7 linked regions of the Coturnix japonica genome follow. The protein of the gene in region 1 interacts with the protein of each later gene in a biochemical or structural test. Links are inferred from orthologs where the notes say so. Each region holds a gene or a part of one and is shown on either strand. Other genes may lie near its edges. The genes, in order: RB1, CEBPB, CCNE1, CASP7, USP4, CDK6 and CDK14.

Evidence for each region.
Region 2: the proteins of RB1 (region 1) and CEBPB form a complex in vitro, tested with the Homo sapiens proteins (2 studies listed by BioGRID, with this or other methods). The link is inferred for Coturnix japonica from reciprocal best matches to the Homo sapiens genes RB1 and CEBPB.
Region 3: of the proteins of RB1 (region 1) and CCNE1, one has a biochemical effect on the other in vitro, tested with the Homo sapiens proteins (9 studies listed by BioGRID). The link is inferred for Coturnix japonica from reciprocal best matches to the Homo sapiens genes RB1 and CCNE1.
Region 4: of the proteins of RB1 (region 1) and CASP7, one has a biochemical effect on the other in vitro, tested with the Homo sapiens proteins (2 studies listed by BioGRID). The link is inferred for Coturnix japonica from reciprocal best matches to the Homo sapiens genes RB1 and CASP7.
Region 5: the proteins of RB1 (region 1) and USP4 form a complex in vitro, tested with the Homo sapiens proteins (2 studies listed by BioGRID). The link is inferred for Coturnix japonica from reciprocal best matches to the Homo sapiens genes RB1 and USP4.
Region 6: of the proteins of RB1 (region 1) and CDK6, one has a biochemical effect on the other in vitro, tested with the Homo sapiens proteins (9 studies listed by BioGRID and IntAct). The link is inferred for Coturnix japonica from reciprocal best matches to the Homo sapiens genes RB1 and CDK6.
Region 7: of the proteins of RB1 (region 1) and CDK14, one has a biochemical effect on the other in vitro, tested with the Homo sapiens proteins (2 studies listed by BioGRID). The link is inferred for Coturnix japonica from reciprocal best matches to the Homo sapiens genes RB1 and CDK14.

What each region holds. Positions count from the first base shown.
Region 1 is NC_029516.1:151,017,952-151,022,314, reverse strand, and holds the start of RB1 (retinoblastoma-associated protein), read right to left. Parts: upstream 3,009-4,363; 5' UTR 2,887-3,008; coding exon 2,792-2,886; intron 2,696-2,791; coding exon 2,578-2,695; intron 1-2,577. UniProt on the Homo sapiens protein: Tumor suppressor that is a key regulator of the G1/S transition of the cell cycle. The hypophosphorylated form binds transcription regulators of the E2F family, preventing transcription of E2F-responsive genes.
Region 2 is NC_029535.1:12,271,692-12,275,877, reverse strand, and holds CEBPB (CCAAT/enhancer-binding protein beta), read left to right. Parts: upstream 1-1,185; 5' UTR 1,186-1,564; coding exon 1,565-2,551; 3' UTR 2,552-3,559; downstream 3,560-4,186. UniProt on the Homo sapiens protein: Important transcription factor regulating the expression of genes involved in immune and inflammatory responses. Also plays a significant role in adipogenesis, as well as in the gluconeogenic pathway, liver regeneration, and hematopoiesis.
Region 3 is NC_029526.1:7,172,455-7,176,695, forward strand, and holds the start of CCNE1 (G1/S-specific cyclin-E1), read left to right. Parts: upstream 1-1,378; 5' UTR 1,379-1,713; coding exon 1,714-1,727; intron 1,728-1,818; coding exon 1,819-1,909; intron 1,910-2,055; coding exon 2,056-2,124; intron 2,125-4,241. Other genes in the region: uncharacterized protein F13E9.13, mitochondrial-like, read right to left, coding at 478-560, 1,050-1,122. UniProt on the Homo sapiens protein: Essential for the control of the cell cycle at the G1/S (start) transition.
Region 4 is NC_029521.1:24,417,414-24,421,133, forward strand, and holds part of CASP7 (caspase-7), read left to right. Parts: intron 1-2,920; exon of another isoform or gene 2,921-3,088; intron 3,089-3,224; coding exon 3,225-3,373; intron 3,374-3,720. UniProt on the Homo sapiens protein: Thiol protease involved in different programmed cell death processes, such as apoptosis, pyroptosis or granzyme-mediated programmed cell death, by proteolytically cleaving target proteins.
Region 5 is NC_029527.1:1,689,935-1,694,444, reverse strand, and holds the start of USP4 (ubiquitin carboxyl-terminal hydrolase 4), read left to right. Parts: upstream 1-1,666; 5' UTR 1,667-1,706; coding exon 1,707-1,879; intron 1,880-1,969; coding exon 1,970-2,097; intron 2,098-2,176; coding exon 2,177-2,307; intron 2,308-4,270; coding exon 4,271-4,397; intron 4,398-4,510.
Region 6 is NC_029517.1:20,770,229-20,773,948, forward strand, and holds part of CDK6 (cyclin-dependent kinase 6), read right to left. Parts: intron 743-3,720; coding exon 575-742; intron 1-574. UniProt on the Homo sapiens protein: Serine/threonine-protein kinase involved in the control of the cell cycle and differentiation; promotes G1/S transition. Phosphorylates pRB/RB1 and NPM1.
Region 7 is NC_029517.1:19,844,204-19,848,539, forward strand, and holds the start of CDK14 (cyclin-dependent kinase 14), read left to right. Parts: upstream 1-1,516; 5' UTR 1,517-1,877; coding exon 1,878-1,968; intron 1,969-4,336. UniProt on the Homo sapiens protein: Serine/threonine-protein kinase involved in the control of the eukaryotic cell cycle, whose activity is controlled by an associated cyclin.

The sequences.
Region 1 (4,363 bases):
AGAAAGGACTAAGTATGGTGGTTCTAGGCCCTTCCTCAGAGGGGTTTTTTCCTTATTAGTGTAAGATAGTTAGTTAAAAGCGACTCAGGAATTCATGCGTACAAAGAGCTGACAGCAGCAGAATAGAGTAGGCCACATTTCTCAAGCAGTGCTATGAGGAACAGCAAACAACAAAGCAAAGCTTGCACCCGTGCACCGTGTGCTGCAACAAGATGGGCTGAAATCAGACTCTATGCCTCAAGGTCCTCTCCCATAAAGAGACCAATAAATAATTCCAGTATATCCATTTACTCCATCTAGAGGCTCAGAGGCATCACTGCTTCTTAACACAGATTTAGGAACAGTTACAATTAGAGTCCATTCAAGAAGCCAGTTTCCAGAGTCAACAGCTGTCAGGGTGTAAGAGTGAAAATGACTTTAGAGTATTTAGAGTATATATAAACAAGTATTTTGTTTACCTAAGTAACTTAGTTTGGTAGACAAGAAGTAAAGTCTTTTGATGACATTAGCACAGAACTTACCTATATACGCACTACCATGTTTATATGATATTTGCACTGGAGCTCACCAGATATAGGAAGAATTTAAAGCAAAAATCATATTTCTAGTCACATATCAGATATCTTCTTCCATCAGCAGTGCTGCATCTGAGGAATCAACCTTTGGGATTCTGCCTGTGAGGTTCTGAATTACAGTTTTGTTGTAAAATAGTGCAGTTAAACTCTGGTTGTCACAGCTTTAATATTCCCCACTGAAGAAGAAAAACACTACCACATTTAACAGAGTTGTAATGTTTTAAATGGCTTCTCTCCATAGGGTTAGAATTATAAGCTACAAGCTGCTCTCATACAGGCTATGAAAAGGAGAGGGCAATACTGTCTCCTTCTGCAAACCTCTCACCAGCATTCAGCTGTTCAAGGATCCACGACTCAGCTGTGATACAGAGCAGCTGCATAACCTTGACTCAAACTGCTGAGGAAACAAAGAAACCGAGAGCAGGATGAAAAGCTGCAGTGTGGACATCTCAAGGTGAGGAAGGTAAAATTACAGGACAGAAGAAAGATCATTAGTAGCTCACATTCAAAAGGGGAAGAAGAAAAGCACAACATGAAAAGGTGTAAAGCCTTAAAGGAAAAAGACAGCAAGCCAGGTTTGGTGGCTTCACAGAGGGTTCATTTCAGAGAGCAGCAGATACCAGCCTTTTTCACACTGGCTGATGCCTGCCTGGCCAGGCACCCTGAGGTATCTTAGTGGAGCACAAGCACACCCAGGCTCATAGGTCCCTGTATCCCAGCTATCTTGGTATGCACTTTCCAAAACAGTAATAATATATATAATATATATATAATCTTTTAGGGAGCTAGGAGATATGGTTTGGGGGTTTTCTGTAGGTATGGTAAAGGGAGGATGGTTGGACTAGATGATCTTATAGGTCCCTTCCAACCTTGTGGTTCTATGATTCTATGAATAAGCTTTGATTGCAGAATCTCTTTGCAGACAGCTACACGTACCCTAGGTGACAGCTAATACTAGTTATTTTTATTACCATTCACTGATTAAGGATACATCAGGTGTTCAGATCAGGCCTAAGCCCATATTCACACCCTGAGTGCCCATCCAGTTATACAGCATCTTACATTAGGGCCACGCTGCTTCTTCATTAGCCCTCCAAGTTGTCCCTCAGAGGATTGGCATTTAAGTAGAGCCTTACCCTGAATGCTCACTAGCTACTGCAAAAAGTCGTGGTGCAAAGACATGGTAACAGCTCAACTTGGGAAGAGAAGCAGCAATTAGCCAGGCTGTTAATTTGCTGGATTTCAGGCTCAAATTAATCATAGAATTATCCAGGTTGGAAAAGACCTTGAAGATCATCAAGTCCAACTGGAGCCTAACCATAGTACCCTAACTCTAACAACCCTCTGCTAAATCAATAATGAAGCCTGCATTAGTGTCAGCTACAAGCAGCAACCCCAGCACCTGCTGGAGGCACACACTTGCCAGCATCCCTATCCCAACACCTTGCTGGTCTGTCAGGAAGTCTGAGGAAAATGGACAAGATTGGGCCAAAACACAGCACAGGCCTTTTCCTACACACTGAGAGACTCTCGGATAGGCTTTATTGCACAGTGAGAGGCGGTGGGCAGCTGCGCACACACACATGGAGGTGACCTGGATAAAGATGTTCACAGGCTGCTGCTTTCACAGATCAAAGGGACCTCAAGAGGTGCCCCAATCCAACCCCCTGCCAAAGCAGGTTCCCTACTGCGGCTCACACGGAAAAGCGACCAAACGGGTCACACACACATCCAAAGTAGACACTGCAGCCTCACGGAATCACAGAATGACCCGGGTTGGAAGGGACCTCAAGGATCATGTAGTTCCAACCTTCCTGCCTGGCAGGACCACCAAACATACACCTTTACTAGATCAGGTTGCCCAGGGCCCCATCCAACCTGGCCTTGAACACCTCCAAGGACGGGGCATCCACAACCTCCCTGGGCAGCCTGTTCCAGGGCCGAACCACTCGTGCTCCGTCACTCCGCCGTCCCGCAGCCCCACAGCGGTCACCACACTCACCGGAGCCCCGTCGGCGGCCGCCAAGCTCTCGTACGTCCTCCAGGCCTTCTCCCTCACGCTGTCCGGCACCTTCAGCGCATCGCACAGAGCCACGAACTCCGCTTCCCCCACTTCCAGCCTACAAAAGCATTGCGGAACACGCTGCCACCGGCCGCTTCACGGCGGGGACGCGCGGGCCGTGTTTGCGATACCGGCGCCGTAGCGCTGCGCTTACCGGGTGCCGCCGGGCGGTGAGGCGCTGCCGCCGCCCTCGGGGCTGGTGCGCTGGCTCCTGGCGGCGCCCGCCCTGCGAAGGGGCTTGGGCGGCATAGTGACCGTTGTGCCCCCGCCGAACAAGCGGCCACCAACGGGCCCCGCTCCTTTTCGCTCCCCTCCCTTCCCTTCCCAGAGCCCAGACCGCGGGAAAATCGCGTCAAGGCCCGCACGCAACACGCCGTCACTTCCGGATCGTATAATCGTCAGCGTTATTCCGCTTCTAACATGGCTCCGTGCTGCCCTGAAGGGGTTAATTCGGATCGTACAATCATTTGAGGACCCCTAAAGGCCATTCGGTCGTGAGGTTCTCCTGGACCCCACTGCTCGAGCCTGCGTGGGTCTCTCTGAGGGATATCTCATCCCTCAGGTGTATCAGCCACACCACACAGCTGGATGGCACCCACAGACTTGCTGAGTGTGCACTCGAACCCGCTGTTGATATCATTGATGAAGGTATTAAAGGACACAGCATCATAGCATAATCCCAGTCTTCACACCGCACAAACCTGCTGCAAACCAGTTTTCTCTAACACCAAACCTTACTGGTACTGGAGAGGACCTGAGTCCTCTCTGAAATGGAACCATTCCCCCCTTGTCCTATCACTGTCTACCCTTTTACACAAGTTGGTTCCCCTCATGTTTATAATCCCTTTTTAAACACTAGAAGGCTGCTATGATGTTTCCTCACAGCCTTCTCCTGGCTGAACAAGCCCGGCTCCCTCAGCCTGTCAGAACCACATATTCACCAAGTGTGCTCATAACGTTGTGAAATAACATTGCCCTCTCCTCACAACTGGTGTTAAGAGCACAGAGGAGCTCAAAACCAGAGCAAAGCATCTCAGAAAACTTGGTCATGACCCTCCCAGCTGTCAACAAGGAGGAACACACCCTCCTGGGCAGTTCACTCACAGCTGCTTCAGCTGCTTTTGGAGCCAGGCTCTAGATCACCCTAATGATAAGCAAAGAATCTGTGTTGCTCTCATAACTCCCTGTGTGTTAACGCTTAGGGAATATTGTATCCTATTCAACAGCTGACAACCAGTGTCAGTGTAAATACTGCTTTTCTAACCTCAGTGTGCCAAGCCTGAGCTCAGGTCAATGTATGCAGCTTTTCATCAGACAAGGCACTCAGGGCTCTCTTCCATACACAGAAACAACTAAAAAATATCCTTATTACTTCACACTACAGCTTACAGAGAACCGGAAGGAGAAGAGGAGCAGCAGATGAACTACAGTAACCTCTAATCCATCCCTCGGTTACAGTGACTACACCTAAAATGCAGCAAGATCTAATGGGTATGTATGTACTTCATAAGAGAGATACATACATAAAGCTATATGTAAATTGCTGCTTTTCTTTTTTTTCCTCCCTAGATATCTAAGTGTTTTAGTCCTGTATTTAAAAACATCCCCTTTTAAGTGTAGCCTTTTGCTTTTGGATTAAAATGACAAAGGTAAGAAGAATAAAGTATTAATTATTTTTTCTCATCAGATCGGGCCATAATTTGGTTCTAAACATCTCGCTCCAACA
Region 2 (4,186 bases), on another chromosome or scaffold:
GAAATGTAAACGTAAAAATATAAGAAAGACAAAGTCTGGTGATCCACTGACATATTTCTGAATTCTTCCTCTTTTCGAAGTTTTGAGGTTTGAACATTATGAACAGTTGACTGTTTGAATCGTATAATGCAATACCTGTTCCTCTGGCTTAACGTTACCATATTTCCCACACCGCAGGATTGCTTCACATTATTCTAAGAGGCAGTGTCATTTTCCCTGCAGTGCTGGGTCTTCTTTACTGAGGCAAAGGACACTCCTACTTCCTTTAATTATATGTTTTGTTTTAAATTAATGTCCTTTATTCTGGGGATGAATCACCAGCTTGTAGACAGGTAAATGTGGGAGTAAGAGAGTGAAAATAAAGTTTGATTCCCAAGGTGGGTGTCTTTAATTAAAACGGACATCGAGATTCCGTCTTCCTTCCCAAACTCACCCCGCGATTCTGACAGTGCCCGGATTCCACGGTTCCGAGCACGTATCTCACTCTCTCTGAGTTTAAAGGAATGCCTTTAAACACGGTCCCCTCTGGCTTCAGACCGCGGATTCCCTGTCGCCTTTGTACCCTGACAGTTGCACGGTATCGTGCAAAGTAAATACACTGAGGCAAACTTCAGTCACGGTCCCCGCACGCAGAGATGGGGAGCGGAGCGCGGCGGCTGCTCGGCTCTGAGCTCGCTGCCGTCAGGATGCGGCCCCGGCTGCGCCCCGCTCCAAACTGCGCTCGCTCGGCTCTTGTAAAATGGTTCTGCCCGCGTCTGAATGGGACGGTTCTGCCTGACAGTGCGGTTCACTCAGTCAGGCGCTGGACGGAGAATAAGAGGATCTGTCTTCTATTTGCAGCTTTTTCCCCCGCTTTGGCAAAAGAGCTCGGAAAAACGCCTTCTGCCTCGATTTCCCCAGGGGTAAAACGGGACCCAGACGGGTTTTGCACCCAATTCTGCGCGGCACACGCGGCCCCACAGCGCCAGCCCTTGCTCTCAGACGCGAAAGGCCCGTCGCGCTGGCAAAAGAGCAGCGGCGGCACCGGAGTCCCGGACCGAGCGGTGCCCGCTTTCCCCGCAGCCGAGGGACAGGGACGGGACGGGACGGGACGGGAGGTCTCGGCCGCCCCGATGCTGGCGGCGGCGGCTCCGTGCGGTCCCTTTCCCGCACAGCTGCCCCAGGGCCCGCACCTCACCCGCACCCGCAGCCGGCGGCGTCCCGGGGGCCGGAGCGGCAGCTCCGAAGCGTGCAGCGTGGCATGCGGCCAGGCGGTGACGCGCCTGTTGCTATGGGATCCACCGCCCCTATAAATAACAGAGCGAAGGAACTTTCCTAAGTCAGAGACTTGAGGACACGGGCCCCGCAACCAGATGGTCCGCAGGAGAACCGCCAGCTCCAGCCGCAGCTCCGGGAGCGGGAGAGCCCCGCCGCGCCGCACGGACTGAGCCGCCCGGGCGGGCAGCGCAGCGGGGCCGTGCCCAGCGCCGGGCTCGGGAGACCCCCACCCGACGGCGGCCGCTCGATTCCGTGCCGGGGGGGCCCTCCGCGCCGTCTTCTCCTCCCCGCATCTCCCTTTGCTTTCATGCAACGCCTGGTGGCCTGGGACGCAGCATGCCTCCCCATTCAGCCGCCCGCCTTTAAATCCATGGAAGTGGCTAATTTCTATTACGAGGCGGACTGTCTAGCTGCTCTCAACAAGCTGCACCCGCGGGCGGCCGGGGGCCGCTCCATGACCGAGCTCACCGTAGGGGACCACGAGAGAGCCATCGACTTCAGCCCGTATCTGGACCCCTTAGCAGCATCCCAGCAGCCGGCGCAGCCGCCGCCTCCCGCAGCAGCAGCAGGGGGCAACTTTGAGCCTGCCTGCAGCAGCGGCGGCCAAGATTTCCTTTCCGATCTCTTCGCCGAGGACTATAAAGGCAGCGGCGGCGGCAAGAAGCCCGACTACACCTACATCAGCCTCGCCCGGCACGGCCACCCGTGCGGCAGCCAGAGCCACAAGCCGGGGGGGCTGCCGGGCTGCTTCCCGCCCCAGATCGTGGAGACCAAAGTGGAGCCGGTCTTCGAGACCCTGGACTCTTGCAAAGGGCCCCGTAAGGAAGAAGGGGGAGCGGGGCCGGGACCGGGGGGCATGTCCTCGCCCTACGGCAGCACCGTGCGCTCCTACCTGGGCTACCAGTCGGTGCCGAGCGGCAGCAGCGGGAACCTGTCCACCTCGTCCTCCTCCAGCCCCCCCGGCACCCCGAACCCCTCCGAGTCCTCCAAGTCGGCCGCCGGCGCCGGGAGCTACTCGGGGCCGCCGGCGGGCAAGAACAAGCCCAAGAAGTGCGTGGACAAGAACAGCGACGAGTACCAGCTGCGCCGGGAGCGCAACAACATCGCGGTGCGCAAGAGCCGCGACAAGGCCAAGCAGCGCAACCTGGAGACGCAGCAGAAGGTGCTGGAGCTGACGGCCGAGAACGAGAGGCTGCAGAAGAAGGTGGAGCAGCTCACCCGGGAGCTGAGCACCCTCAGGAACTTGTTCAAACAGCTGCCCGAGCCCCTGCTCGCCTCCTCGCCCCGCTGCTGACCCCCGCGCCGGGCCGCGGGGCGAGCTGAACGCTGCCCCCCCCCCCACATCCTCCTCCCGGGGCCGGGCCGCGTTTTCGGTTTCGTCGGGGGTTTCGTTGTTGTTGTTGTTGTTTGTTGTTGTTTCGGTCTCTATTTGCTTCCTCCCCCCGGGGCCAGGGGGCGGCGGGCGGCGCGGGGGGGGCCGCGGCCCCGGGGCTCTGCTGGGCGCTGGGGTTATTTAAAACGGCGAGAGGAGAGCGAGGGCGAAGTGATGCAATCCTTTAAGCATGGCTGGGAATGCTGTGTACATGATGCAATCTCGTGTAACTGTCAGTCATGGATTGAGTAATCTGTTAAAGATGTTCCTACAGTTTTTTTTTTTTATTATAAAGAATAATCTATTTCTATATGAAAATACATATGTATATTTTGGGATCTATGCATTCTTGCTACATTTGAAGCATTAATGAACGATTTTAATAAACTTTATGACTAGGTTAAAAAAAGTAGCTTGTTTTATTTTGAGGGTGCGTTTTGAGTCAGATGAAACGCAGGGCTGACATTCCAGCTGGATCTGGCTCGGCGCTGCCAGCAGGGATAGGACTCGCGTTGGTCTTTTGGCTTTCTCTGCGACTCAGAGAAAAACAAAAACAAAAACCCCAAGAGAAACCAGCAAAGAGCAGCGCTGGAGGCTCCAGCCAGTCCTCGCTGTCTCAGTTTGGTTCCTCTAATCACTTGCTTGAGCTGCCACTTGGGTACTGCCTGGGAAGAGGCGTTTGTTTGGGGTGGTGGTTTTTTTTTTGCATTTTTTGCTGTTCCATTTGTGCAGAGCGAGGTGTGCTGTCCAAACCGTGACCAATCTGGTGAAATAACTGCAAGGCTCAAGTGGGAGGGAGAAAGAAAAAGTGAGGGAGGAAGCTTTCACTTAATTCTTTTTTCTTCGAGGAGTTCCTGTTCTCTGAATTATGATTCAGTGTGTCTTATGTTTGTAGTTTACAGGAATAAACATGAGAAAGTAGCGCCTCTATTGGATGTCGGTAATGTGGTCACTGCCCGGAAGCTCTCGCGAAAGCCGCCAGGTGAGAGGCACATCACCAACCCCTTGACTTTCCTCTTGTGATGCTCTTCTCAAGCCTGTAGCTGGAGTTTCTCTGTTGAGAGGTGTTTGTGTGTCTGTTAGCTGGGAGAAAGCAGCTGATAAGTGAGGATGGGGCAGGCTCTGTTAGACTATAGATCAGGCTGGAGCTCTGTTCTGCCTGCTGATGGAAAGATGTGCTGCTGCCGTGCCCTTCATGCTGCTACCAGAGCTCTGTGAGCAGCTCACGGGCTGGTTATGTGCACGGAGCTGAGAGAAGGACTGGGTCTTACTCAGCATGTTCCATTTTCCTGTTAGGCCAACTTGAAGCACTATTTTAAAATCCAGATTCCCAGTGCCCCACAATAGGAACTCCTTAATCGTCTGTGCTGAGTTGAATCCAGAGGAGTTTTTATTTACCAAGAGAGTGGGTTTGAATTTGCTGCAGGCAGGGCAGGATTCCAGGACAAAGCCTGAGTCTGTCACTTATTCCCAGTGTTCCCTTTAGCAAAGTGTGTTTCCTACTGAAGGAGCTGCTGTGCGTTTTTGTCATTTGAGGTCCTATTTCTCTGGCAGGTA
Region 3 (4,241 bases), on another chromosome or scaffold:
CTGTAGGCAAGTCATTCAGTACGTATGTCTGTGCCATGATTTCATGAACGCAGTGTGCCAAGCAGAGCTAAGTAAAGCAGCTTGTCAGACTGGATGATGAAGCATCCTACATCCAGATACCTAGAATGCCAGCAACAGTTCATATTGCTGTCAGTTTTCCATCTGTTTTATTTTTTTTTCTCTTTTATTGACTTGATTCTTGGGAATTGATAGTAATCCTATTTAAAAGACTCAAATTAGTTTGAATCTAAGCTTTTCCAGTTCCACAGGGTGTGTGTGTTGTGTAGTTCAGGTTTTGATACTTGGAGGGCCTACTTGTGTGGAAATAAAAGGTGCAGGTTTAAATGTCTTCCTGAACTCGGTGGTTTTAGGTGCTTTCCATGATTTCTAGGTCACTCAGACTCAATTCAATTCACTGGGTGTGCAGAAGCAGCTTTGTGTAAATACTGCCACGGGAAGAAGGAAACCAGGACTTACAACTCCAGCATCCTTGTAATCTTCTGCTTCTTGACAAGCTTGCTCAATTATTTGTGCCAACGGAAGAGAATTTCTCGGTGTCCCTGCAACAACAGTGCCATTTACCCCAATGTGAAGGCAAGCCATACAGCCAGTGATGCTTTTCTGATAACGCAGTTATATGCGCTGACATAATAAAATAGAGAGAAATGGGGTAAAACAGTTAAACGAGATGTGCTCCCCTTTGCTGAACGTCACAGCTCAGCTGTATCTGCTCGCTCCTGAAGCCACTCACAGATCTGAGGGTATTGATGCGGTGTTGTACCGGCACTTTCAGCTCTTTTACGGCCCGGCACACAGCCATGAGAACTCGGGCCGGACGCAGCACCACAGGGAGCCACGTGTCCGAGCTGTCCCGAGGCCTGTGCACTCCGCCCGGCCTATATCTCGTCATCCCTCATCTCTCTGAGCGCTCCCCCAGCGCTGCGGGTTCCCTCAGGTGCCCGTTCTTCCCCCGACCCCTACAGCCATGCCGCCCACTTTGCGAGCGGGTCCCGCAGCGCCGCGTGTTCCCCGTCCCGCCCCGCGCTCACCTGGCAGCGCAGCCACATGCACCACGCCGAGCACCGCCGCCCGCAGCCGCCCGAAGAGCCGCGGCCCCGCCATGGCAGCCCGTGTCTTTGGTCCCGCTGCCGTCGGCTCAGCCGCTCACCTCGCTTCACCCCTCCGCCGCGGGGTCGCGCCCGGGGCCTCCCGCCCCCCTCCCAGCTCCGCTTCCGCCCGGTGCCGCCGGCCCCGCCCCTGCTCACACCGTGTGATCCCGCTCCCCGCGGTGCCCCGCGCTCCCCCGGGGCCGGAGCGCGCCCGCAGACCCCGCCCCACCCGGGTGCCGGCCCCCGGCTCTGGGCGCGGGGCCACGTGTGCGGGCGGGAGGCGGCCCCGCGCCGCGCGTTTAAATGTCCCGCTCGGTGCGGGCCGCGATGTGCGCAGGGACGGGAGCGGCCGCGCCGTGAGGCAGGAGCTGCCCGCGGTTGGTGCCCGCAGTCGGTGCCGTGCCCCGCACGAGCTGCCCCGCCTCGTCCCCGCCGCCGTCGGGCGGGCACCGAGCGCCGCGCCCGCGCTGTGTCCGGGGAAGCTCCGGGGTGCTGAGCGCTCAGCGGGTCCCGGGGCGCGGCGGGGCCTTTCCGCGCCTCGTGGCTCTTTGTGGGGGCTGCGGCTCCCGGCTCCGCTCGTGCTCTCGGTCCGGCGGCGGGCAGCATGCGGAGGGAGAGGTGAGTCCGGCCGGCCCTGCGGGTAGGCCGGCTTCTCCGTTAGCGAGGCCGGGTGGGCGGCTCTTTCTTAACGCTTCTCGTTTCTTGGCAGCGACTGCGCGGAGGAGAAGGCTCCCGCCAAGGGGGAAGGGGGCGCCGAGGGGACCGTGCGGGCCCGCAAGAGAAAAGCCGATGTGGCCACGGTGAGTGCAGGCCCGGCGGGCGGCACGGCACGGCCTGGAGGGCGGTGCGGGCCTGGAGCTGCTCCCGCGGCCTTTTGTTGGGGGGTGGGTGGCCATGTGCTGCAGGGGGGGTGAGCGGCCCTAAATCCCTTCTTTTCTTTTTGTAGTTCCTACAGGATCCCGATGAAGAAGTTGCCAAAATTGAAATGAGTAGGAAAAAGCAATATGAAAGCCAGGTAATGACTGTGGCCTTAGATCACCTTCCTTTGGTCTTAGTAGCCTGTTGGTGCAGGATGTTGGTATTACACAGATATGCAGTTACCCCGTGTTGTGTGGTGGTGGTTGAGGGGACCACCAGCCCAGGCTGTTGAAGGCCACAAACCACCTTAGTGGCATGGCCTGCTTTGGAGCCTTTGCAAGGGATGAAGCCTACACTGCTTTAAACCATTACGTGAATGCTTCAGTGTACCTAAATGTCCCGGGGCTGCCAGGCTGTGCCCTACAAAAGCCTTCATACACACTTAGTTTTCCACACTGACGTACCTGGAGCCTTGTAGGAGTTCAGTGGTTCACTTACGTGCTGTATCCCGCAGGCCAAAGCATGCAGCCCTTTGGCACGCAAACAGAACCAAGTTTTGAGATGGATCTCTTTGTAACCCTGTCTTATGCTTACATATAACCTGGGAGAGAGGAAAGATCACTTGTTCCTCTTAGTTAGCTCTATTCTCATTGGCAAGTGTTTTTATTAGGTCGAGGGAGTACTTGAAGTTCCAGATTAGGAGTTTATAGTACTGGATACTACTGTGGTGGTGATGTGGGCTTTAGGCTTCTGCAGATGAAAGGGATGATTTGTTAAAAGCCTTTTATACTGTAGGCCAAAGAACAAATGAGGCTGCTCGCTGGGGTTGGTGGCCAGTGCCAGTTTCCAAATAGGACACTTGGCATGATCCAAGTTACTAAGTCAGACTGAACTCCAGTAGCATCCCCTAAACTTCTTAGTGCTGTTCTTAAGTTCTTCAATCTTGATACGTTAGTCGTGTTTATATTGGGTGCTTTATTGGTATCTGGTATTGAAAGCAAGATGCCTTTGTGCATTGAGATGCTTGCTCTAAATAAAAGAGCAAAATCAGCCTCTCGGAAGTAGGTTTATTCTTGTTTATGATTCTCTCCTGTGCATATGCACACACATGCTCACTCACTCTGTTGCAAGGACTTCAGCCAGTTAATGCACATGCAGGGTGATACTTAAGCTGCAAAAGTCATGATCAGGGAGTACAGACAGTACTCATTTGGTACGCGAGGCTATGCATAATGTGGCACATCTAACCAGAAGTGGCAGCTGGAAGTTCTAAGACTGAAGTGCTACCATAACAGATGGGCATCATTGTTTGGAATGGCCTCTGCTTGTTGCAACTGCGTACACTAGTTATCAGTCAACATATTAAGCAGGGCTCAAATGGTGAGCATTTAATGAGGGGATCTCTCCTTCCCTTCTGTCTTTCTTTTGTGCAGTATATTAAACTAATTTCTCACTACTGACAAGGAAGAGCTGCCTGTCCTTCACTGCAGACCCCTCCTTTAGCAAAACATTCTGGAAGAGCTTCTAATAAATGTTTATTCCATAATAATAAGGTACCATTGAAAAAACCCTTATTGCAATTGTAATTTGAAAAGCGGCTTGAAATATATTTTGCATACATTGATCTTCAGCTTTGGAAGTAGATACAGGGATACAGGCTTCCAATTTACTGGGGCTTTTTCTTTTTTCTTTTTCTTTCTATATGGTGTTGCTATTAAATGCTACTTCAGGAACGATAGGTATAGCAATATTCAGATAACTCAGGCAGGAGGCATCCAAAGTATTAATTTAGGAATTTTCCAAGCTGTCTTCAGGACGCTGGTGGGACTTTGGCCCTTTGATTCTGTAAACTGTAGATAAAAATGGATACCTGTGTATCAGTCTCTACACAGAGAAGGTTTTTTTGTTATGACAAAGTAGCCAGATTGTTACAGATCTGTTTAAAAAAGCTAACATTTGGCTGCACAGCAGCAGCTCTTCAGTCTATGGCTTGACACAAGCTATTCTCTGATATAAATTGCCATGGGCCACTAATGAGAATATGTTTATGGTTCCAGCAGCAGTATCGCAGGCTTGTATGATAGCCAGTGAGATAGTTATTCTGTTGAGGCACAACAATTCTAAAATGCAAGCAGCTATAAATCCTCTGCAGCCTGTTCCACGTGACTTCTACATTAAATAAACTGTTTACTGACACTAGGTTATACATGAGGCAAAATATCGTAGTCACATCCCACTTTATGGCATCTTCATAGTCAATTCATTAGTTTGCTT
Region 4 (3,720 bases), on another chromosome or scaffold:
AGAGACCAGAGTGACCACTAGTGGAGTGAGGAATTAAAGCATGGCTGTGGTTAAAAACTAAAAGAAGAGGGAACAGTTGTAAAATATAAGTTTCTATTTAGACTGGACAAGTTTGAATCCAAAAAAACAGGGAAATTAGACACTGGATATCAGAGAAGCAGAAAGAAATAAAACTAAGAGCAGATAGTTGACAACAGTTTATAAAAGCACATAATTAACTCATGGAAATGCTCTCAGAAATCACTGTGATTAGAAAGCTTAGAGAACAACGGTGGTAAACATTTATGTTAATGTGTCCAGTTCAAAGCTTAGAAAATCACAATTTGTCTAGAAAGCTTTATGCTTTCAGTCATAAGACAGCCTGTCACTGACAAGGAATTTCCCTTTAGGACTGATTAGTACATTTTTATTACATTATTAGTCATTATTACAAGGTATGATTTAATTTGTTTAAACTGAAGATTGGAACCTCAAACTGTCAGCTTAAGCCACTCAGGCAATTCCCAAATTGCCCTATTTTGGCACAGCAAATAAAATCCTAAAAAAAAAATAAATAAATAAATAAAAAAAAAAATTCTCCCTGAATTGCAGTGTGGGATAAGTGTACAGCACAACCTTTGCTTTCTTATTCATTCAATTTGGACAGATACCAAAAGATTTCTGGAACTGTTTTGTTGTCTGCCAGTAAAGGAACGACAGGCGTAACCCCACAAGATACGCTGTGGTTGCTTATTATCTGATTATCCTGTTAAGCTTGGAAGCAATCACTAGAACAAAACCATAGTATCCTTTGTGAAGGAATGGGGAAATTAAAGGATGGATTCATGTGGACTGTTTCACTGGCAAGGCTTGTCTGTGACCTTTGATGTTGAACTGCATAGAGCTTCTGGCATGCTTTTGGGAATACCAGCAGTAGCTATATCTCTTAAAGTCCTGAGAATTTCTGCATGAATGAGTGCAAACTATTGAACTCGGAAGTTAAGTGGTTTCAGAGAAGTTGTGTGGCTGCTTTACTGTGCCACTTAACCCCAGCTGCTATTTTCAGCAAAGATCTTTGTTGGGTAATGTGACTGCGTGACTTGTCTCGAATTAGATCATTTCCAGCAGTGTAAATATGATATTGCACCATGTAGGTAGATCTATCCCAGGTGTTCAGGACTGTTCATGGATTGAACATCAATAGAAATTTGTGTCTATTGTCCCTTGTGTCATTTGTCCCTTGAAAACATCTGAGTATGTGTAACATCCACGGATAGTCATACAGCATATTCAGGAAGTCAGTGAAGGTGGATACATTTGTAGAAACTTGAATAGGGCATGGACTGAGGAAATTAGTCTCTTCACTGACCTGAGTGCTCACTTCTTGTTTTGAATTTTCTTTTTCCCTTTTCTTTTTTCCCAAGAGTTGTCTTTGTGATGTTGGACTAGGGGGAATTTTAGGCCAAAATAAGAATCTGTGATCTCTTTGAAACCCATCATGCATCCATAACATCATGCAGCTGCGGATAACTCTTTAAAATGGTTAAAATCTTTTCTTGAGGCAAAGCATATTTAATTATTGCTCTCAGAGCCCTCAAGAAGCAGTATGCAGGGAGAATACCAATATTTGTGATTTGCCAGAATAAAACCATGTACTTTTGGAGTATCAAATATAGTCCTCAAGTAGGTATAATTCAAAATCTTCTTTCACAGTTTCTAAAAGTCTAAGAGAGGAGATGACATTAGGATGATGGGAAAAAAGAGTATGGAGAAAGCCTGCCAGATGCAGCTATTTAATTTGGTCACTTAGAGCATGAGGACACTCAAAGATAAGAAGAAACTGTTTTAAAATTGAATTGCCATGGCATTTGAACATGATGAATCATCTAGAGATGCTTTATTATGGTTTCCAGTTAGTCTTGCCCTTTAGTAATGAAAAATAGGACACTTGGAGACTCCAACAATTGCTAGAGAACAACAATTGTTAAGTCAGGAAGATAAGAAAGTACATTTCCTAAACAACATTTAATCAATCCACAGCAATCTCATCTGTGAGGACTATTAGTGAAGCAAAAAGCTTGGTAATTTTCTAGAAAGATGTCAAAGTGGGAACAGTGAAAGTACTTCATTGACATTAATGGTACAAATCTAATTTTGTTAAAATGTTGCAGTACTGCTAGTTGTGCTGAGAAAATAGGTTATGTTTTCCTCTTATACTTCAGCAATGAGTACTACTGGAAGCAAGATGCTGATACCTTCTGCTCTTTCCCAAGTATTGTTTCTAAGCAGGCCTGCTCCAAGGCTTGCTTGTATTTCTGAAGTTTCATCAGAGCCTTTGAAGGCTTTCACTGGCTTCAGTTCTGCTTGTAGAGATCATCTCAATGTCAAAAATCACTTGGCTGGACAAAAAAGTCCACCTCTAAAAGCAAGCACTGCTGAGTTCCTCATGCTTGTACCTCAGATGTGCATGCTGGTTATCACAGATTCATTCTATAGTATTTAATTTAGAATAAATTTCTGGGTAAAGTCCATGCTGTATCTCACCATCTTTTTCTAATTCAATCTAAGACTCCATCACAAAGCAGAAAAATCACTGCACAGTTATACTAATGGAGAATGTCTATAGGATTTTCTTGTTTGTTTATAATGAGGTTGAGATAGTGATGACGTCACACTGAATGGCACTTAGTTTTTAGCATAGCTTCAAACTATCGATTGACAAACCACGCTAACAAATGAGCTGTCAATATCTATAACCTTTATCAGTACAAAATACCTACTGCTCTTTATCACTTTCAGAGAATTTAGGGATGATTCAATAAACAGATCCCATTATGCCACATAGTAAATTGTATCTGCTTGTAATGCTTGCAGTAGTCATTAAGGAAGATCTGTCTGGGCTTACATGAATCACTTACAGTAAAATTAAAATAGTACTTACATTTAGAACCATAGTTTGCAAAAGACTGCTGCCAGCCTGATATTTGGTCATGGTCTGTACGCATTGCAGTTGATTGCAGCTCACTCAAGAGTGATTTTACCATCATCAGTATCCAAATACTGCACGGAAATCATGAGACTTAAGCCATGAGTTAATATCTCTACATCTCTGTATGAAATACAAAGAAAAAAAAATATAAGAGAAATAAAAACATCAGGTAGTGCTGCCCCAATGGTATGAGTTAGAATAAATAAGCACATTCACATGACAGGTCATTAACAGTGTTTTCATTTGATTCACACAGGAAAAAGAAGAATGGAGAAGAAGAACAACCAAAGTCCACCCTCAGTAACCAGTACCGAATTGTTACACCCACATTCCAGTATAATATGAACTACAAGAAGGTTGGCAAATGTATAATTATAAACAACAAAAATTTTGAAGACAAAACAGGTAACGTTCTTTGTCTTACTTGAGAAGGGAGGTTGGACCACACGACCTCCAGAGGTCCTTTCCAACCTAAACCATTCTTCGATTCTGTGATTCAGTGACACTTATTGCAGATACTTTCATTAATCAATAAACCTGTTATTTTTAGGACATGGAATTTTAATGACTATATTCACTTTATTTGATAAGCAGTTGTTCATACTGTTTGTTCCTGTTCTTTAATCCTTATATTAGAGTAGCTCTTTACAGCTCCTTTGCAGTAGGTGGTTAAAAAAAGTACATCAGCTTGTTCTGCCAACTTTTAACTCAACTTCTGTCCTAGAATTTAAGTCTGCATTGTTAAAACCTGA
Region 5 (4,510 bases), on another chromosome or scaffold:
CAGCCTCTGTAGAGCCCTATAGCTGCAAGGAACAGGGCACCAGGGCAGCCCCACAAAGGGATCCCTCCCCAGGTGGGAGAGCTGCCTGCTGGAGCTGTACACAGTATTCATTCACTGCTAATTGCAGAGAGATTCGTTTATCTCCTGGCTGCTGGGGCTGTATTGGCTGGAAAGCAAAGCAGCAGCTCCAGGGCAGATGCACACCAGCAGGATGATGTTACTCCAGGATGAAAATCAGCCAGCAGAAATACAAACCATCCTGCTATAAACGTGCTGCAGTCCCAGCAGTAAATGTGCAGAGCAGGTGAAAGCCTCAGCCTCACTCCCTGCCTGCTGTAATCACACCCAGGCAGCGGGTGGTGGTGGAAGGGGCAGCCTGGAATCATTCCTTAGTGACACACACAAATAAGAGCAGTCCTCGTGCAGGCTCCTGCACTCCAACACTACTGTGTGTTGGAACCACGTGGGAAAGAGACATTTCACTGCACTCAGATGATTCCGTAGCCTGAAGACATTGCCCCTTCCATATCTGGCTCTTATCTACACTCCTACACCTTCCTACTGTAACATGTGTCTGCTAACAGCTACTCCCTTGCCAGCGCACACCTTGCCCTTCTATTCCTCCACCCATCAGCCCCAGCTCCCCCCCTTTCCCAGAGTGTTTGGCTCTCCTTCCCCACACCTCATGACTGGGGTGACCTTCTAAGCTGCCACCAACTCCTTGAACCTTTAAAGGAGTTTAGATAGAAACAGTCAGGAGCTGCAGATAGAAACTATCCTGCCTTTATCTCCCGGCTTCCCCAGCGTTCTGCCCATCAGACTCAAGCACATCACCCTAAACCATGGACCAGAAGTGTTTTCACAACAGAAATGCCATCAAAAGGAGAACAAAACAAGCCTATTAAAGGCTCTTTTGGCTGTTTTATAACTCCTTTCTCCTTCCTGATGAGCCGCATTGCACACACCATCTTTGCACACATAATCCTTGCACACACAAGCTTCCAGAGGACTCGTTATCACTGTTTTTCATCACGGCCATGGGCAGACAGGAGGAAACACCTCTGACAGCTCTGTTAGCAAGCAATGAACGAGGCGATTCTGTTCCCTATGAGGGAGGTCACCATTGCAGGGCCCAGCCATGTGTGCTGACTCACTGTGACAGCCATGACTCCACTTGTGGCTGCACTCTTAACCCCGCTGGCACTCACTGATGGATCACCCTGCCCTGCTCAGTGTTTAGATAACAGAGCCCCTGAACCGAGCAGATAAGGAGGCTCTGCTGGTTGTTTGCACCAAGGAAACAGGAGGCGCTGTGATACTTAATGCGTATGTTGCGATACTTCATGCGATACTTAATAAGTCACGTAACTCTGGGAAACCTCCGCACATGTAACACACGAGCACCACAAGGGCGGCTCGCAGAGGCTGTTCCATGACTCCTACCAGCCCCTCATTGCTCAGCTCCGCCTTCTCTCTTTAATTCCTCTCCCAATCCGACCCCCCCCCCCCCCCCGGGGGAAGCGGGTTTGGGGGGGGTCACAAAGCGCAGCACAGCGGAACTCAAAGCGCCGGGCGCGGATCCCACCCGGCCGAACCACGCCCACACCACTTCCGGTCAGCCCGGGTGGGGCCGTAAAACGGCGCCCTCGCGCAGAGCGCATGCGCACGAGGCCGATTTCCGGTAGCGGGGAGGTGAGCGCCGCAAGATGGCGGCGGCCCAGGGAGGCGGTGGGACGGTGCGGCCCGAGCTGGGCCCGGAGCCGGCGGACTCGGCGACCGTGGAACCGGCGGCGGTGGAAGCGGCGGCTCCGAGCCCAGAGGAGCAGCGGGCCGAGCTGAGGCCGCTGATGGCCGCGTCCATGAGGCTGGGGGAGTCCTGGTGAGCCCGGCCGGCCCTCGGCCGCCGCCCCGTCCCTGTGCTGGCGTTGGGCTGGCAGCGCTGAGGGCCGCGCCGGGCCGTGTGTTACAGGTACGTGCTGACCAGCCGCTGGTTCGGGCTCTGGAAGCGCTACGTGGGGTACGACAGGTGGGACGTGGCCGGAGTGGGAGACCCCAACCTCTTCCCTGGGCCCATCGACAACTCGTGTCTGCTCGGAGGTGAGTGCGGCCCCACGGGGGGTCCCCGGGGAATGGAGGGTTGTAAGGGAGCCGGGCCTTATGTGCGTCTCCATTCCAGATGGGGAGACTCAGAGCTTAAAGGAGCATCTCATCGCACAGCTGGACTACGTGCTGGTGCCCAGCAGCGCCTGGCAGAAGTTGGTTTCGTGGTATGGCTGCATCGAGGGCCAGCAGCCCATCGTGAGGAAAGTACGTTTGGGTGGAGCAAGGTTTGCTCAGCGTACCTTTGTTATCTTATCTTTGGGGCTGAGGCTGATTGGATGGAGGCCAACGAGACCAAGCACCAGGTCTTGCACTTCGGGCACAACCCCGGGCAATGTTATAGGCTGGGGACGGTGCAACTGGGAAGCTGCCTGGAGGAAAAGGATCTGGGGGTGTTAGTTGACAGCTGGCTGAACATGAGCCAGCAGTGTGCCCGGGTTCTCAAGAAGGCCAAGAGCATCCTGCCTTGTGTCAGAATCAGTGCAACCAGCGGGAGGTGATTGTCGCCCTGTTCTCCACGCTGGTGAGGCTGCACTTCAATTACTGTGTTCACTTTTGGGTCCTTCTCCAAAAGAAAGACGTTGAGGCCCTGCAGTGTGTCCAGAGAAGGGCAATGGAGCTGTGAAGGGTCTGGAGCACAGTCCTACAGGGAGCTGCTGAGGGAACTGGGTTTGTTCCACATGGGGAAGAGGAGGCTCGGAGGAGGCCTTATCTCTCTGCAGCTGCCTGAAAGGAGGTTGTAACAAGGTGGGGATCAGCCTCTTCTCCCAGGTAACAGTGATAGGATGAGAGGGAACGGCCTGGGGAGATTAAGTTGGACATTGGGGAAAATTTCTATTCTGAAAGAGTGGTCAGAGACTGACACAGGCTGCCTGGGGAAGTGATTGAGTCACTGTTCCCAAAGGTGTTCAAGAAAAGGGCAGATGTAGGACATGGCTTAGTGGGTATGGTGATGGTGGGTTGATGGTTGGACTTGGAGATCTTTCTAACATTATTCTGTGGTGTTTGTTTCACTAGTTGTGTGTTGAAAGAATAACATCAGGTTATGTTTAGCTTGTTGTCTCCAATAACGTGACTTGTCAATGTTAAAGTGCCTGAATCCTCATTGACTCTCTGTGAGTGGGTTACATGGGGTGAGAGCCGTGAACCTTGTTCCAGTTACCTTCATATGTTTATGATTGTTTGGAGTAGTGCAGTGCTTTCATGTTGCGTGCAATAGTTCAGGCTGTACTCAATGGGACAGAACAGGGCACTGGGATAAATTACCTGTTAATGCAGGTGGTTTGGGGACTTCCAAACAAGAACCTGGTTCTTGTTTTCTCTCCTAAAATTCTGGCACTCTCAAATCCAAAAAGAAGAGACATGTTTGTGGTTCTCTTTTATAAGCTCATAAGGTGTTTTTCTCCTGCATATGTAGTTATGAATGCATTCTGAGTAGGTAAGCCATTCTGAAAGGTAGAATCATGAGTCGCTCTTCTGAAATCAACTGAAATCTGTCAGTTGTTTACAGGTAAAAGGGGCTTTGTGGTTTTTAGTATTGGGTTTTCAGATCAAGTGTTGGCAGCACCGTAATTGTTGAGTGGTAGAGCTTGGAGCAAATGCTGTTTTGTAGACAAACAGTCTGGGTTGTCACGGCTCAATTAAAAGTAACTTCTTGTTTTAGAGTCTAGGATTGTTGCAAGAACTTCAGTCCGTTGTTAACCTGCCCACTGCAGTGGATTTTGCTGTTAAAAACACACCTAGAACAGTAGGACAAGGAAGTGAGCATAGTATTTAAATGAATAAAATAGCAAGTGAAAGCAACTAGCTTTTTGTCAGCCACGTGTAGTTAAGGAATAATACTGGTGGACTCACCATAGCACAAAGCTGGGAAGTTAAGTGTGAATTAATTATGAACTGAGCAGTTCATTGTGCACCAATGAGCTGAAAGCTGATCTCAGGGTAAAGAGAAATGCTCTGTGTCAGGGTATGGGGGAGGGCAGTTGTTGTCCCACAGCCCTGTGAAGCTGTGGCATCAGATGGTATGGATCTTCTCAGCTATTTTTTTCTCTTCCTGCTCCACTGACATTGTCAGATAACTGGCCTTTAAGATGTGCTTCTTTTATACTTTATGATTTTGTTTTTAATATCTTATTATTATTTGTGTTATTTTGCATCTTTCTGTGAGCAGGTGATGGAATTTGGTCTATATGCGAAGCACTGTGAAGTTGAAGTTTATCCTCTTGAGCTGAAGCTGTGTGAGAGCAGCAGTCCTTCCAACGTGATCAGCTGCTGCTTCAGCAGAAGAGACAGTGTTGGTAAGTAGCTCACTCATGCATTAAGCTGTTCTGATGCTTTGTCAAGAGGCGCTTTGTATCTTGCTCTGGAAGGAAGATGTGACTAGAACAAAGTCTAGCAGTAAGGTGGTCCA
Region 6 (3,720 bases), on another chromosome or scaffold:
TAACAGTCAGCTTGGGAAATAGCTGTGATTTTAGCTGCCAGGTCCACCTCAGCTGCCTCCAACGCCGTGCTATTTGGAATCACTCAGTAAATTATGGGAGCAAACACCAAATCCATATTCACAAAGATGGGAAATCACGGGTATGAATGAGACATTTCCAAAATTATCATCTGCATATTATTTTCAGGCAAGACCACCTCAGCATCAACATGAGTTTTACCTTTAAACAGGTATACTTTGGAAACTTTCAGCATACCTACAGGGTTCAACATGCCAAACTAGCCAAAATCACAACAGAAGCTAGACTGCTGAGGTTTCAGAAAACTAGCACATACCTATCCTTCAGAGATCAGTCAGGATTTAATTTAGAACCAGCAATCAGTAATTGATTACTTTTACAAAGTAACCATAACAAATTCAGTCCAGGCAGGAAAGCAATTGTTTTGCAGACCCAAGTAACTTTAACAGTAGAGATGGTTTTAGAATCAGAGTTACAATACGCTGTTTATCAGAGCCATAGAGACTAAAGGACTGTGCCGCATTAAAAGAAAAATAAAAGCCTCCAGAAACTCACCACTGACGTAAGAGCCATCTGAAAACTGTAGATTCGTGCAAGGCCAAAGTCAGCTAACTTTATCTGCCCACTGCTGGTTACAAGGATATTTTGGGGTTTCAGGTCCCGATGCACCACACGATGTGAATGCAGAAAATCCAGTCCCCGAAACAGCTGAAGCATCATATCCTAAGTATAATGAAATCAATATGCAGTTATCAAGACAAGGCAAACAAGCAAACACCCAGCCACAGTCTGCAGAACTAATTTAAGTAAGTACTGACTTGAGATAAAAACACCTATTAATATAAAATGGACAGGATATTGCTAGAACCTGCTGACTTGAATAGGTGTACTTATCAAGTTCACGTATCGTTTCTAGTTGAATTATTTGTGGTTAATTGTTAAAAATATAAAGACTGGTCAACAAACTTAAAGAACAAAAGCATGTCTGCAAAACACATATCAGCTTTGAAAGAATGCTGTCCAAGTAAGAAAAATATACTGCAGCATTTTGGTTTTAACTTTAAACCACGCACCACTTTGCACCTCCCAGCTGTCTGCTTTTCTTGCCTCAGTGAAGTGAAATCTCGTTATTCACTTCAATAGGCACAGGCTCTGTTTCAAACAGAAAAGCTAATTAAATGACCATTTTGTCAGAATTTAATGTTTCAGTGGGAAAAAAGTTTACTTGTCAAAACCCATTCTATAGAATATACTGAAAAGTGTAGAAACTGCTTAGATCAAACTTTAGCACTAAATTAGTGTAATAATTCTCAGTTGGCTTTCTGTTGTGTTATAGTGATGCAATCTTTTATGACACTTCCACAGCAGAAGACACTATTTCATCTGTACTCATGTTTTCATACTCATCTATGTAATATGAAAGGAATGAACCAAGAGACTCGAAAGTAAACACTAGAAATCCCCAGAATTCCAAATGAGAGGGATACCATCAACTGGCAAAGTGTATTTGCAAAACAAACAGCTACAAGGAAATGTTGGAGTGAGTAAGAAACAAAAGGAATATGTTAGGATTTTCTGTGTGCACTTGACTCTAGTTGATGAAAGTCCAGCCCTGTGCTTGCTGCTAACATATGTGCTTTCCACAAGCAATGCAGCAGGCTCTCTGCCAATCCTGTTACTAGCAACCAAAATGATCTTGAAGAGGTGGATGGTATGAGACACAAGAAAAAGGTAGAAGGAAAAACTGAGTTTGGTTGCTTTTGTACTGTGATCATCAGAGGAACAGGAAAAACCTTAGACATTTTTACAAGAAAACATTCAAAGCACACTATGAAAAGGAATCCTATCTGAAAATTGATTTTAAAATAGCTCAAAATATTCAACTTGATAATATTGCTTTAGCTGGATGTATTCTTAAGATAAACTTTGACACTGCTATGTAATTTAATATAAAATGAAACGTCCCCAGCCATCACCACAGAAAATATTATATAATGTATAAATACTAAGGCTGGAAGCTCTAATCTGACCTTTGATAAAACATGCCCATTATTATATACAGCCTATAACTCCTTCTGCCAAACAGTAGTAACAGTGGGCTGTTGATATAGAGATCAGTTTTGATTTGAAGACTCAGAAAATGATGATACGAACATGAATCTATGGAATCTGTGGCAGTATTTAATTATAATGACCTCTGAAGGATGGTGGTAAACTGAGCTCTCCATTCTGATGCCTTTTATTTCCTTTGCTTCCTCAAGAAAAACAGATCTGGTCATTTTGGTAACTAGCGTAATAGGGTTTGCTCCCCTAAAACAAATATACAAAGTGTAGTGAATCCTCTTGTATTTATGTATTTTCCCTTTGCAACTCAGAAATATGTGGAAGAGCTATGAATACAGCTCTGCAGGTCCCCAACACCAGTAGAATTGTGTAATACCTGGTCACTGTTTTAACTTAAATCAAATCCCAGTAGTCTTTGAAAGAGCCTTGAAGAGGAACAGAACATAGCAAAAACATTTAACCATGTGGTTATCTTAAGCGCTTACTTAATGTTTTCACTGAATTTGGGCTTAACTATTTTATTCCAGACAAACATGATACCAGAAAAAAAACCAACCTGAATTTAAAGAACTTCAGTATTAGTCAGTAGACCCTGGCAAGTCCCTTTTTGTGACACTTCTGCATCCTATTCATTTGTCAAGAATGTAAACTCATTCCTGCAGTTACCAAACATATCAAGAATTCTCTCAAGCTGTTTCTGTTTCATATTTCCCCCTGAAGCTCGGTGAATGCAGTTCTGCTCTGCTAGTTGCAAGTTGCAAGCAACATCTTCAGTTTCTGAATTCACAATCTTCCAGGCATGCATCAAGTATATATACATATATATTTGAAAAAGGAAATTGGTATTTCTTTCTCTACTTCCACAAAACTCGAAAGATTAACAGTATTTACTGAAGTTTTGTTCACACACACAGAAATCAGGAAATATCAGGAAAGCGTACATTAAAAATGTATTACGGAGGGAAACTGGGGGAAAAGTGCTACATTTCTTCTTCAAGGAAATCCAGATTCACTCCACATAGGCTATTCTCTATTGTTCATTTTGGACAGTTGGTTATGCTCTTTTGTTTTATTAGCATTATTCCAATTGCCACCATTTGTTCTATGTCTGCATTTCCCTGAGATACCTTCTACAGTACCTTAACATACCACACTTTTGATTTGCAGTTCAAATCACAATTCATAAATCAACTGAAAAATGATACAAACAAGAAGATTCATTTCTTCGCAGATTTGAGTAGCAAGCTCTAACAAGTCACGCTCTAATCTCAATCTGATATTCTTTGGGAATTTTATACTTACAAATAGATACCAAATAGCAACGGTTGTTTCAAGTTAGAGATTTCTACCAATCTCACCAACCCTACCATAGCTGTTGATTGAGTTGAAAATATATATATTATTCCAAGTGATTGCTTTCAGATAATCATGATCTTAAAGTTTTCCCTTTTCAGGCTGCATTTTCAATGCAGTCTATGTACAGACCTAAAATGTTTATCTGTAACTGCTGAAAACAGCTATTCTGGGATGCGACGAACCAAGATACTTTCCTTAGAGACAAAAATGTAGCTTTAACTTTGCAAAAGTCTCATAATGGAAACAGTAAGAAGCAGAAATTTTTAGGGAAACGACAAAAG
Region 7 (4,336 bases), on another chromosome or scaffold:
CTGCCTGGCAGAGGTTTGTCTCCATGAGTTATAGCTTACCTAGAAGCAGGGGGAAAAATGGGAATATTGTTCAGTAGGTGCTAGAAGCATTGGCTCATGTTGGTAAGAAAGCATATGTCAGTTAAGCCTGGTTAATTACAAGTTCCTCAGAAACTCTATCCCTAATTGCCCAAAGAAAGCCACAGACTGAATTAGGGCAGTGTTTGTGCAAGTCTCTGCTGGGCAGCACAGCCCTCAGTGCGACTTGTATGCACAGGGAGAGGAAGGGCTTGAATGCTCAGCATTTGCTTCTGGACCAGAATATGTGTTTTCGTGGTGGTGGCATTTTCCTCTTCACCCAGAGGAGTACTCACAGATACTAGCACCAGATGTAAACAGAGATCAAACTCCTTGACTGTTATCAGGGACTTAAATGTCATCTTTTGCACTGACTGAATAAAACATCCTGAAGTGTATGTGTTCTCCCAGTCCCTTGTCTGTTTCTTCTTAATTTTTATATACTTATATTCCTGCTTTCCTCTCTTCAGTGTTTCAGTTTCCATGTCTCCATTATTTTTTTCCATAATACAAAATACCCAACATGAAATCAATTTTAACTCCTGTTTCAAAGATACTAAGAGGATCAGTAGGACTCACACCTCTGACAGCCCTTCTGTCTAACTGTAGACTCAGGGTTTGTGCACAGGCCACCCTACAGCCTTCTGGCCCCGCTCTATGGCAGGACACTTCCCCATGACCTCATACATCACAAGAGCACACGCACAGCAGAAAGCAACGCCCCTCCTAGGAAGGCCCCATGTTAGCCCCACGTTTGCCATCCCTGTGACAGGCAGGTCTGATCCCAAATTGCTCACAATTGCAGATGGTTCAGACTCAGCCCACATAAATGCTTGTCTAGACAAATGTGCTTTTAAAATTGAGTTAGCCACTCTGAGCTGGGGCACAAATTAATCCTGTAAATTGTGTTAACTGGCCTCATTAAAACCCAAGTCCTTTTTAACCAGATAACATGCATTAAAACAGCATTTAAAATGTGTAAACCTCAGTTTTAAAGTGTGTTTGTTCTCAGAAAAGGACGTGCTTTCTATTTTAGACCAGTCACAGACATCTGTCCTGACGGGTTAAACTGATTTATTTTCCAGTAACATTGGTTCAATCGAGTTAACCAGATCAAAAGCTCTCAGTGCTCATTAACCCGGAGAATAACACATATGAGAGTGAGTTACCTGGCTGCGTTTTAGGGCTAGGTGGGCACTGCAGACCAGGTGCCCTTCTCCCACAGCCACTCGAGCATCAGCTCAAAGCCAGGGGCTCAGCCAAGAGGGTCGTCTCATCGCACCACCAACATAAAGCGCTCGCACGTCCCTTCAAGGCCCCCATCTTGTACAGCAGCCTCAGGGCAGACGGGGGAGGACGGCTCCGCCTGGGGGCACCCCGTGCCCGGCCCCCGCCCGTCCCAGCGCCCGGCGGGGCGGGGCGTGGTGGGACACCGCCCTGTGGGCGGCCCGGGGCCGCAGCCCGGCTCAGCTCGGCAGCCTTAGTGAGCGGGGCCGGTCGCCTCCTTCTTCCCTCCTTCTCTCCCAGCCACGGCTCGGGGCTCCTCCTCCTCCTTTCTCCTCCGGCTCCCTCCCTCCTCCCTCCATCCGTCACCCCCCGGCCGCACTTTCCTTGCGCCGCTCCCGTTTGCACTTTCCATTTCGCTCCTCCGGGGCAGCCCGGTAAAGCGGTCGGGCCGGGGCTATGAGCCGTGCGGGGAGAGCAGCTGCTGCCGAGCCGTAGGGAGCCGTCCCCGGGCAGGGCCGGGGTGTCCCGCTACAGGCGGCGGCTCCCGGGCAGGGCTCTCGCTGCCGTCCCGTCTCGGGGCGGAGGGGCCCGCGATGTGCGACATGATCGACTCTCAGTCCGCCGAGAAGATCAGCAGGATGAAAAAGTTGCGGAGAACTTTGTCGGAGAGCTTCAGTCGAATAGGTGAGGCCCGCGGCGCTGCCCGGCGTCCCGGGGGGAGCGGGGGGTGCCCGGTAACAGCCTCATGCGGGTACCGCTGGGGAAGATCGGTGTGAGCTCTCAGCCCGTGCTCGAGTTAGCACGAAACAGGCTAACAAAGTGAGAATCGGCATTGCCCAGCGTGCTGCCAAACTGAAACCTTGAGGAAAAAAAATGCGGGGAAGCGAATTGTTATTGTGTGGCTGCGGTTCTGGCCGCTTATTTTTCGTTCCGGCTGCACATTCCTGGAAGTTGAGGCATGAGATGCTGAGGCTGATAGAGCCGGGTGGGAGACTGGGGAGGGCGGACAAAAGAAGTCGGTCTGTCATCGCCGCCGAGCCGTGCAGCGCAGCATCCTGAGGCAGCGATACCCACGGCGTCTCCCGGTACCGCCGCTTCGCGTTCGGCTTTGACACCGCTCGTTTTGCTCCGGGTTTTGTTCTGAGAACAATACCAAAGAGTTCAGCCGCCTTTGGAGCCGTATTCCTGCCGGATAGTGGAGCGATGCTGGGCTTCGTCCAGCGCCGGTTGGAGGTGTTGCTACGGACTGCCCGCAGCGGCGTGCTCAGAGCCGGGGAGCGGGGCGAGGTGCGAGGCGGCGGCGAGGGGCTGGGCTGGAGGCCGCAGAGCCACCGGGGAAGGCCCTGGCACAGCCCTAACCCTGCGCTCACACCGGCAGGTCAGGGGCCGTCGGGCAAATCTCGGCTCCCAGAGCTGCTCTGTGTCTCTCTGAGCTGTGCTCCCTCAGAGCCCTGGCAGGGAAGCGCACAGCACGTGTAAAGCTGTGATACCCAAGTAGTGGTGAGGTACCGACACAGGGGATGCCCAGGGAGGTGGCGGGGACACCATCACCGTTCACAACAAGTGTGGATGTGGCACTGAGGGATGTGGTCGCTGGGCACAGTGGGGATGGGTTGGTGGTTGGACCGGGTGATCTCAGAGGTCTTTCCAATCTTGATGTTTCCGTGATTCTATGAACTTTAGCTTGAAGTGTTAGGAGAGCATTTGACATCTGGTATCTTCCTCGTTTCCTTTTGGTTCGATTGCTAAGGTGGGTTAGACTGGAAAGAGCTCGTTTATGTTTGCAAAAAAATTTCAAAGGTGAATGTTTCAGTTCTGAAGTGGATATTAAGTCACAGTTGCAAGTCCCTCTGTTTCCGTATGAGAATATCTCTCACCCATATTCAATCTTATGTCTTAAGGCATTTTACCAGTTTGATTAAAAAAGTCACTCAGGAGTTTGATCTGTCACATGCTTACGTGTATGTACGGACACAGACAGCCTGGTACAGACCTGTGGGCAGGCTTTGCCAAGTGGAAGTCATTAACAAAGACAACACTTTAAATGGAAGTGCTGCTTTATCATTGCAGCATCGGTCCCACTAATGCCTTCTTGGCACCATGACCTCTCTGAGTGCTAACTAGTGGCTTTCTTGGGTGATTGTCTCTTTTGGTTGCTGGAACTAATGAAACACTTCAGTTTCTGTGGGAGTTTTGGCTGATTTAGGTGCCCTCACTGTTGTGCTTTCTGTGTACCAGGGCCCTTTGTGCAGTGCCAGAGCTGTGTTTGCCTGTTGGTGCTGTTCTGTTGTTGTAAGTCAGCTGCCACCAGCAAAGCTGTTCCACCCACAGATGCTCCGGTAATGTGAGCATCACGCTATTAAGTGCACTGTGAGCAAAAAGCTCTGATTTATCAGATTGAGGTTTGAACCGAGCCCGCTCCCTGACAGCCACAGCCGCAGATAAGCTCAAGCAAAGTGAGCCTCTGTTCAGAAACTCTCGGTTTGCATACCAGGAAATGCTCAGGTGTGACACGTGCTCCGCTTCACTTCTGTTTTGAGATTAAAGGGAGGAAACCAAACCCTCAGCAGAGAAAGCTCTTATTTTTATCACGCTGTTTTCACATCTCTTTTTGGTAATTGGGTGCTACTTGGTCAGGTCAGTAAGTGACTGAGTGAATCTGTATCTGATCTTCAGCTTTGTCAGTCATCCATTCCTTTACAATTTTTTATAAATCTGTGACAGTCTTTTAACTTTTCCTCTTCAATGTTTTCATAGGTTCAGGTACCTGGCAGCATTATGAACACGCTGGTGCAGATGATGCAAAGCGATGTGATCTTCCCCTGCCGAAGCAGAGATATCTCGGTTAGCTGGGCAGGGCAACATGGGGCATCTCCCAGTGCTACCAGCTCTCAGCTGCTAAATACAATCCTTCCAGTCCTACAGAGCCCCTTAGTTTTGATACTGTGGTTCCTGTTAACCTCTTTAGTAAGAGTAGCAGAAGTGCTTGGAGTTGTCATTGGTAGTGTGTTTTTGCTTTGGTAAACCAACACACAATAACTGCCTTCAAGAC